2 linked regions of the Drosophila melanogaster genome follow. The protein of the gene in region 1 interacts with the protein of each later gene in a pairwise test. Each region holds a gene or a part of one and is shown on either strand. Other genes may lie near its edges.

Region 1 (3,895 bases):
CTCGTCATGATGGGTGGCAATGGGTGGCAGTGAATGGCAGTGACGTCTGGCCTTCACATTTGTCCCAACTCATTCCCAGCACCCCAATGTTGGGTATTTTGCCTGGCTCGTTATAAAAATAAAACACAAATTAATCCAACAAGCTCGTCGCAGCTGGAGATTCAAAGATGGGAATACACAATTGTTGAATGAAATTGAAAGTGAATTTGTCGGTCTGATTGTCGATAATCTGAAAACTTTGTAGTTAAGTATTTACCTCGAAATTTATCTGGAAACTTAGTGCACTTAGCCACATTTTTGTATAATTAAATAAAACAAAAACATTTTTCTAATTGGTTTATGGGTTTAATATAAATATTTAACCGTGCCATATATATCTTTTATAAATATATATAAATGTATATTGTTGATGAACAATGCTTGTTCTTAGAACGTTTAGAACGATTTCAGCTGTGTTTGTCTTAAACTGCCTTGTCACCTGGCACACCTGCTTAAAATGCAGCCTCCTTTGACACATTTTGATGTCCTTTTTAGGCATTAAAGGAGCGCAACATCATGATGTACGACACGGCAGAGCGAACAATCTGCAATGGATAATATCAGGCAGACTTTAATATTTAATTAATAAATTTGCAAGTATTATGTCTCCAAAATCTAAATCTACATATTGGCAGATTAAAAATGAAAAGAAGTACTAGTTTTTTGAATTGTTTCTCCAGGTGTATTTCTGCGGCACGTGGCATGTTTACGGAAACTCACCGTCGAGAAGGTGGCCATGCTGGCCTCGAAAAAGTAGCCCTTCATCTGGCAAGGTCGCTGGGCGCGCATGGCGGCAATGAGGAGGGCTCTTTTAGTGGGTGGCGAGAAGTCGGTCCAGTTGGTCTCGTACAGCCCGTTTCCGAAATCCAGGCTGGCACTCTTGATATTTTCGCCGCACTTCGAGTAGATGAACAGTGCGATGAGCAGCGAGCCCACAAAGGCGATAAAGTAGAGACTCTGCGGATTGGGAAACAGATCAGCCACCTGGAATCCAATGAAGCAGATCTGCAAGGCGGACAGAAAGAACTGCAAAAAGATCAGCGGCCGGTACTTGTCCGCAATGTGATCGGCGATCTGGAGGCCCTTCTGGTGCAGCAGCAGCACCTGGACGAGCCCCTCCAGCTCCTCCTTTCCGCCCACCGCCGGCAGATGGATCATCCGGTGCTTGGCGATCTTGAAAATGGCGCACACGTTGTAGGTGAAAAAGAAGAGCAGCGAGTCCACGCAGAGTGCCATGGTTACCTTAAATTCGAAAAATTACAATGGTAATAAGCACCTTTTTTTTTGGTTTTTTTTTATGTATGTTAGGAAACTTACAGCACTATAGCTGGCCATCACATTCCACAGATAGGTGGGCACATAAAACATGACCACCTGGAGATCGTACGGGTAAACGCCGTTGTGGGGCAGCTCCAGGTGAATCTCGTCGCCGCGAATCGAGGAGAGTATGATGCCCACAAAGGGCTTCAGGGCCGCAAAGATTCCAGCCAGTCCAAAACAGCGAGTGTACGTAAGACTGAGCATTTGGTCACTTTGGTTCTCCACCTCGATGATTTCCCGCGCATCAGGCCACACTTCGATTTCTGCAAATTATAAAATATATTTTTATGTTATATAAATTTTTTTTTAATTAGTAGAAACTTACCTTTAGCCAGAATGGCCCTGATGTGGTAGATCAGGCCGACGAACTCCTTGCGATGATAGCAGAAGAGCAGGAATTTGACCAGGGTGAGCATGCTGGCGAAGGTGGAGCCCAGGGTGTCGGAGAGCAGGCTCACCTGGGTGATGTACTCGTGGGCGGCCAGGAACATGGGCACCATAAACAGGAAAAGTGGTCCCATTGTGACAAAGGTCAGCCACGGGCGGTCATTCGCCATCGTGGGGCTCCACAAATCGATGCCCATGCAGCGATAAACGAGAATTTGCACCCGCAAGGATTGATCCTTTTCCTCCTGCTTTTTTCCCTTCACCTTGTCGCTCATCTTTAACTGGCGGACTGTACAGTCGTTGGGTTCTTATACTTTCCACAGAGGGGGCGTGGAAGTTAATGTCATGTCAAAAATGCAGTCAAGCTCAGAACATAAAGAATAATAATTGTTTAATTCCTTACTTATCTTTGGATACTCTGGCAATCTTTTTTTAGAATTTTTTTAGAATATTTCAATGTAATGGGCGTTTTTTTGATTAGGTACAAGCAAAGTAGAACTTTTTATTATTTAAAATATTGTCTTAATACCAACAAGTTCAACTTGTCATAGAATCGAGTTTAGTATGGTCGGACTGTATATATATATATATTTTTTTTTTTTGATTTTTCACTAATTGTTGAGTCGGAGGATTTGGCACTACTTTCATTTAATATGCTTCCTTTGTGCATTGGTTTGCGGGTTAAATGGGTGTGGACCTGGGTGGACTTGAAGTGCATTTATGGCTCTAATTACACGATTTTTTCTGCCTTTCGCCGCATTCTATTTAATGCCGGCCCTTTCACTCGCTTGTCCTGACAATCAAATGGCAGCCTTTAGTTCCCAGGAAGTGCATTATAATTTTAATGAGTCTGTGCAGATTTGAGCGACACGAGCAATAGTTGTGGCGCGTCTATTTTTGGCTCCTTAATTAGATTCGCAATTCGTAATGCTGTCGTTGACTTTTGATAAGGACTCGACAATTTGCCGTCCGATGGCTTGTGGACCAAAGTAAAGTTTGTTTTGCCGTCCAGGATTAAGTCTATTTAGTTTATAATATTAAAGTATATTTTTGGTATTATATGTTATGTGAATATATTGTTACAAGTTATGATATGGAAATAAATATAAATTTTAGTTACTGTATGATTTAGGAAATATATATATATTGTTTATTTAATATTTATTAATATTATTCAATATTTCAAATTGTCCCGCCAAATTGTGTTCATTAGTGTTGACTAACACACCGACAATGATGGTCAGCTGAAATTTATTTGCAGCCAGTTGGCAGGTCAGGCACTTTCAACACTGTTCGCCCAGCTCGATAGTATCGATGAGCAACGACTGGCATACCCTTCTGTTATCGAAGACCGATAGACCTCGATAGACTCAGTTGTATAACCTCTGCTCGCAAATATTTTTTACAGGCAACTAGCAGCTCGAATTCCGTGCAAATAAACCTTTAAGTGAGTAGCCCAAGTTACCGCTTCAGCCATTCACTAAGTTCCACTTGAAACGCATCACCTTCAATTCACAGAAATGGCTGGCGAAGGCGAGAAACTGACCGGCCTGTCGAAAATCTTCAATGGCACCACCATGAGCGGCCGTGCAAATGTGAGTAGATGAAATTCCAGAACGTCGTGCCCGTGGTAATGCTAATCCGATTGTTATGCCATCCATTTATCCCGTCCTTGTCCAGGTGGCCAAGGCCACGTACGCCGTGATGGGCCTGCTGATCGCCTACCAGGTGCTGAAGCCCAAGAAGAAGTAGAGGGATGCAACTGCTCCAACGCGGCTACAACTCATCCGCCACAATCGATGTCTTGGATCCGGGGCCATCGCTGGACTGCGGATCAGTTTATTTTATGTGTAGTGCAAGACCTTGAAGGAATAAATAAGCTGAGAATGTAACACACTGTACCCACGAAGTGCATTATGTAACGATCCTGCGACTGCCACATGATTTGTGGGCATCACTGCGGTGGATACCCTAACCACACCGATCTATGGGCTGCAAGGTACTCACGGCAATGCATACGCAACCGGGCTAAAAGTAATAATAAGTGGTTCTAGAAGAGAGAGAGATTAGCTTGCGTCCAGTGCGGATATCACTTGTTAATTGAGGTTCAGCCTAGCAGTAAGATGATGTTCCATAATAACCTTCAGTT
Region 2 (3,245 bases), on another chromosome or scaffold:
TTTCGAACGCTTCGGAGTCTCCTCCTACCTGAGTCTGCTGGTCATCTCCGTTCACCCCTCAATGAGGCAAAGAGGTATCTTGGTCATACTTTCCAAATGTCTCTTTAAATTGGGTCGCCTGCGGGGACACACTCTGTTCATCACCAGCGGAACCAATCACTACTCCTCCCGGTCGGCGATGAAAGCGGGATGTGAGTGCATCCATTCGGTGGCCTATGCTGACTACAAGGACGAGTTGGGTCGGCCGATATATAATCCACCAGCGCCCCATACCCACATTCGGGTCTTGGCCTCAAAAATGTAAAAATTAAAATAATTTATTAATTAATTATTACTTTGGCCTTGGCAATTGATAAAGGTCGTCGAGCTGGAAACGCAAGTCCATATGGATCAAATAAAGTAATAAAATGTAGAACGGTCTACTTTATTGTTCAGATATTGTGTTGATTATGTATTTATCGACACATGACCTTGCAATAATTACAAAATCTGATATTAAGTAATCACTTTCCACTCGATGTATTTATCCTCAAAGATTTTGGGTCAGAAAACCATATTCGAAAAATGTTTATTACTAAAAGGATAAGTCAGTCTGGCACTTCATTAAAAATAAAACCAAAAGCCGTTGGAAACAACTTTCTCTTCGCCAAACAGAAACAATCTATAAATATGATAAGCCATTATCAGTGATAAGCGCCGAAGTATAAAAGCCATGTACACATCGGCGTCCTCTTCTGTCTTAAGAAAAGCATATAGAACGAATTAGCTCCGGATCGCGATGACTCCCACGACAATAGATGGCGTCACGATACGCATCATGCGCCCAGAGGATTATGCACAGGTAAAAGCCTATATGGAGGCTGAGTACTACACATCGGAGCCTCTGTGCCAGTCCAGCGGCGAACCCGTTCACCAGCAGAACGAGGAGATCAACGACGCCTTCAACCAGTCGATAATCGCCGAGGGCACCAGCCTTTTGGCACTGGATGAAAACGATGGTGGCCGGATTGTGGGTCTAGTTCTGGCATGTGCCAGTTATCCCGATAATGTGAATGCAGGAACATTGAATTTGAAGCTCGAGAATGTGGAGGATAACGCTTGGGGTCGAATGTATCATTTACTAATGAAGGCCAAGCGCGAAGTCAATCTGTTTGAGCGCTACGACATCCCGAAGGCGCTCTACTCCCACGTGACCAGCGTGGCCTCGTGGAAGAGGGGCAAGGGCCTGGGCTCCCGCCTGGCCGCCACCCTGATGGAGCTGGGCCGATCGAATGGTTTCCCCCTTATGATGGCCTTCTGCACTAGCTTCTACTCCGCTCGCCAGAAGGGGGCCTTGGGCATGGAGTGCATCTATTCCATCGACTACGCCGACTATAAGGACGATGAAGGACGAGTGATCTTCACACCGGCAGCCCCACACACAAAGCTGCGAGTGATGGCAATCAAACTGTGACAGTTGATAACAAATAACTGAGTCGAGGAATTTAAATAAATTATATAACTATAGTTATGTTTATTTAATACTTAGCACACTTTTGGGGGACCTATACAAGTTGACCAATGACCAATGTGTCTCGGACTTTAAGATAAGAGGCAAGATCTTGCACTGCTTTATTCTTTCGGTTCATAGTAAACAATTCAAACGGACGCGCCAAAATACAAAAACGTCCTTATCGATAACTCGGAAAGCAATTGGTTTTGATAATTAATCAAATTGATGTGTGCGATAGTTTCCGCTCACCGACCATCGCCCACCGCTAGCTGTCATTCGGCGACGCGACGAACTGAAATCAACGTGCTTATTTTCCGCTCGGTAATTTGCCAGAAAAAAACTAATCGAAATGGGCGTACAAGTAGTTCCAATTGCTCCTGGTGATGGTGAGTATCCAATGATTGGGTTAGAATCCGCAAGAAATGCCGTAAACTACCGGCCTTTCTAACCTATTTAGTGCATTTTCGCAATGCACAATTCGGAAATACCTGCGACAATATGGTCGTCCCGCTCACACACATCCATTTTTGCATTCCCCGCCCGCAGGCAGCACCTATCCCAAGAATGGCCAAAAGGTCACGGTCCACTACACCGGCACCCTGGACGATGGCACCAAGGTGAGTACGAATCCCGATCCTCGCCATCCCCAGCTAATGATCCGCCTTGAATTCCACGCAGTTCGATTCGTCGCGCGACCGCAACAAGCCATTCAAGTTCACCATCGGCAAGGGCGAGGTCATCCGTGGCTGGGATGAGGGAGTTGCCCAGTTGAGCGTCGGCCAGCGCGCCAAGCTGATTTGCTCGCCGGACTATGCCTACGGTAGCCGTGGCCACCCCGGCGTCATTCCGCCCAACTCCACCCTCACCTTCGACGTCGAGCTGCTCAAGGTCGAATAGGCGCACAGGATGCCCAATGTGTATACCCCAAACCAAATCGCAGGGGGTTGCGGACCGGCGCACCGGCGACGAGCCGAAGAACATCATAATCGGAACCAGAACAATCCAGCAGCATTTGCCAACCCAAAATAATAATGATAACTTCATACACAGCTCTAAACTAGAACTAATTTAACCGCAAAGGGAACGCATCTTCTACCAATACAAATAAACATTTATTCAAGTCAATGACAAATGTCTTTCTTATCAAAAATCTTGGGATAATCCAATCAAATCAGCTGCGGTTGCCTTTCCGTGCTGCAATACAAATGCATTTCATATTATTTTTTAATCAGGAAAATATGCAAATATAAAAACGCTTTATCATTCTCTTGATAGACTTGAAGTGGTCTACTTGACAAATTTGATTTTATTTTATATAAGTATATAAAGTGTACAAGCATCTTATTTGCATATATATTCGATTTGGAAACAGGATTTTTTTTAATTCTTTGTGCACAATTAATCCAAATTATTTTTCATTTTCTATACCACTTCCAAAATCACCTAGATACGCTTCAGTTTTTGCAGACCAAGCTCATAATCTTGTCAATAACTTCATATCGCTCCTTTTCATACTTCTTGATATGCTTTATCCAGTGTCCGCGCACTTTCTTCCAGCGGTTCATATTGGAGGACAGAAGATCGGAGGTACTGGCACCTTGGAGAGCCTTTTCCCGCTTCTTGTCCTCCTGGCTGAACTCCAGACGAGGCGGAATTATGGGCAGATCCGTGGACTTGGCCTGCGGGAGCTGGTTGATCACCTTTATCTCGCCGCTTTTAATTTGGGACAGGATTTCTTCGCCGTTGTCCTCAC

Evidence for each region. Proteins that work in one complex are often made in the same cells at the same time.
Region 2: the proteins of Or9a (region 1) and Fkbp12 interact in a two-hybrid assay, tested with the Drosophila melanogaster proteins (one large-scale study listed by BioGRID).

What each region holds. Positions count from the first base shown.
Region 1 is NC_004354.4:10,457,656-10,461,550, forward strand, and holds Or9a (odorant receptor 9a), read right to left. Parts: upstream 2,022-3,895; coding exon 1,685-2,021; intron 1,623-1,684; coding exon 1,357-1,622; intron 1,282-1,356; coding exon 760-1,281; intron 585-759; coding exon 531-584; downstream 1-530. Other genes in the region: Neb-cGP, read left to right, coding at 3,267-3,341, 3,427-3,498. UniProt on the Drosophila melanogaster protein: Odorant receptor which mediates acceptance or avoidance behavior, depending on its substrates. The odorant receptor repertoire encodes a large collection of odor stimuli that vary widely in identity, intensity, and duration.
Region 2 is NT_033778.4:19,288,348-19,291,592, forward strand, and holds Fkbp12 (FK506-binding protein 12kD), read left to right. Parts: upstream 1-1,761; 5' UTR 1,762-1,841; coding exon 1,842-1,878; intron 1,879-2,038; coding exon 2,039-2,109; intron 2,110-2,170; coding exon 2,171-2,389; 3' UTR 2,390-2,615; downstream 2,616-3,245. Other genes in the region: AANATL6 (arylalkylamine N-acetyltransferase-like 6), read left to right, coding at 1-304; AANATL4 (arylalkylamine N-acetyltransferase-like 4), read left to right, coding at 779-1,453; mip40 (Myb-interacting protein 40), read right to left, coding at 2,947-3,245. UniProt on the Drosophila melanogaster protein: PPIases accelerate the folding of proteins. It catalyzes the cis-trans isomerization of proline imidic peptide bonds in oligopeptides.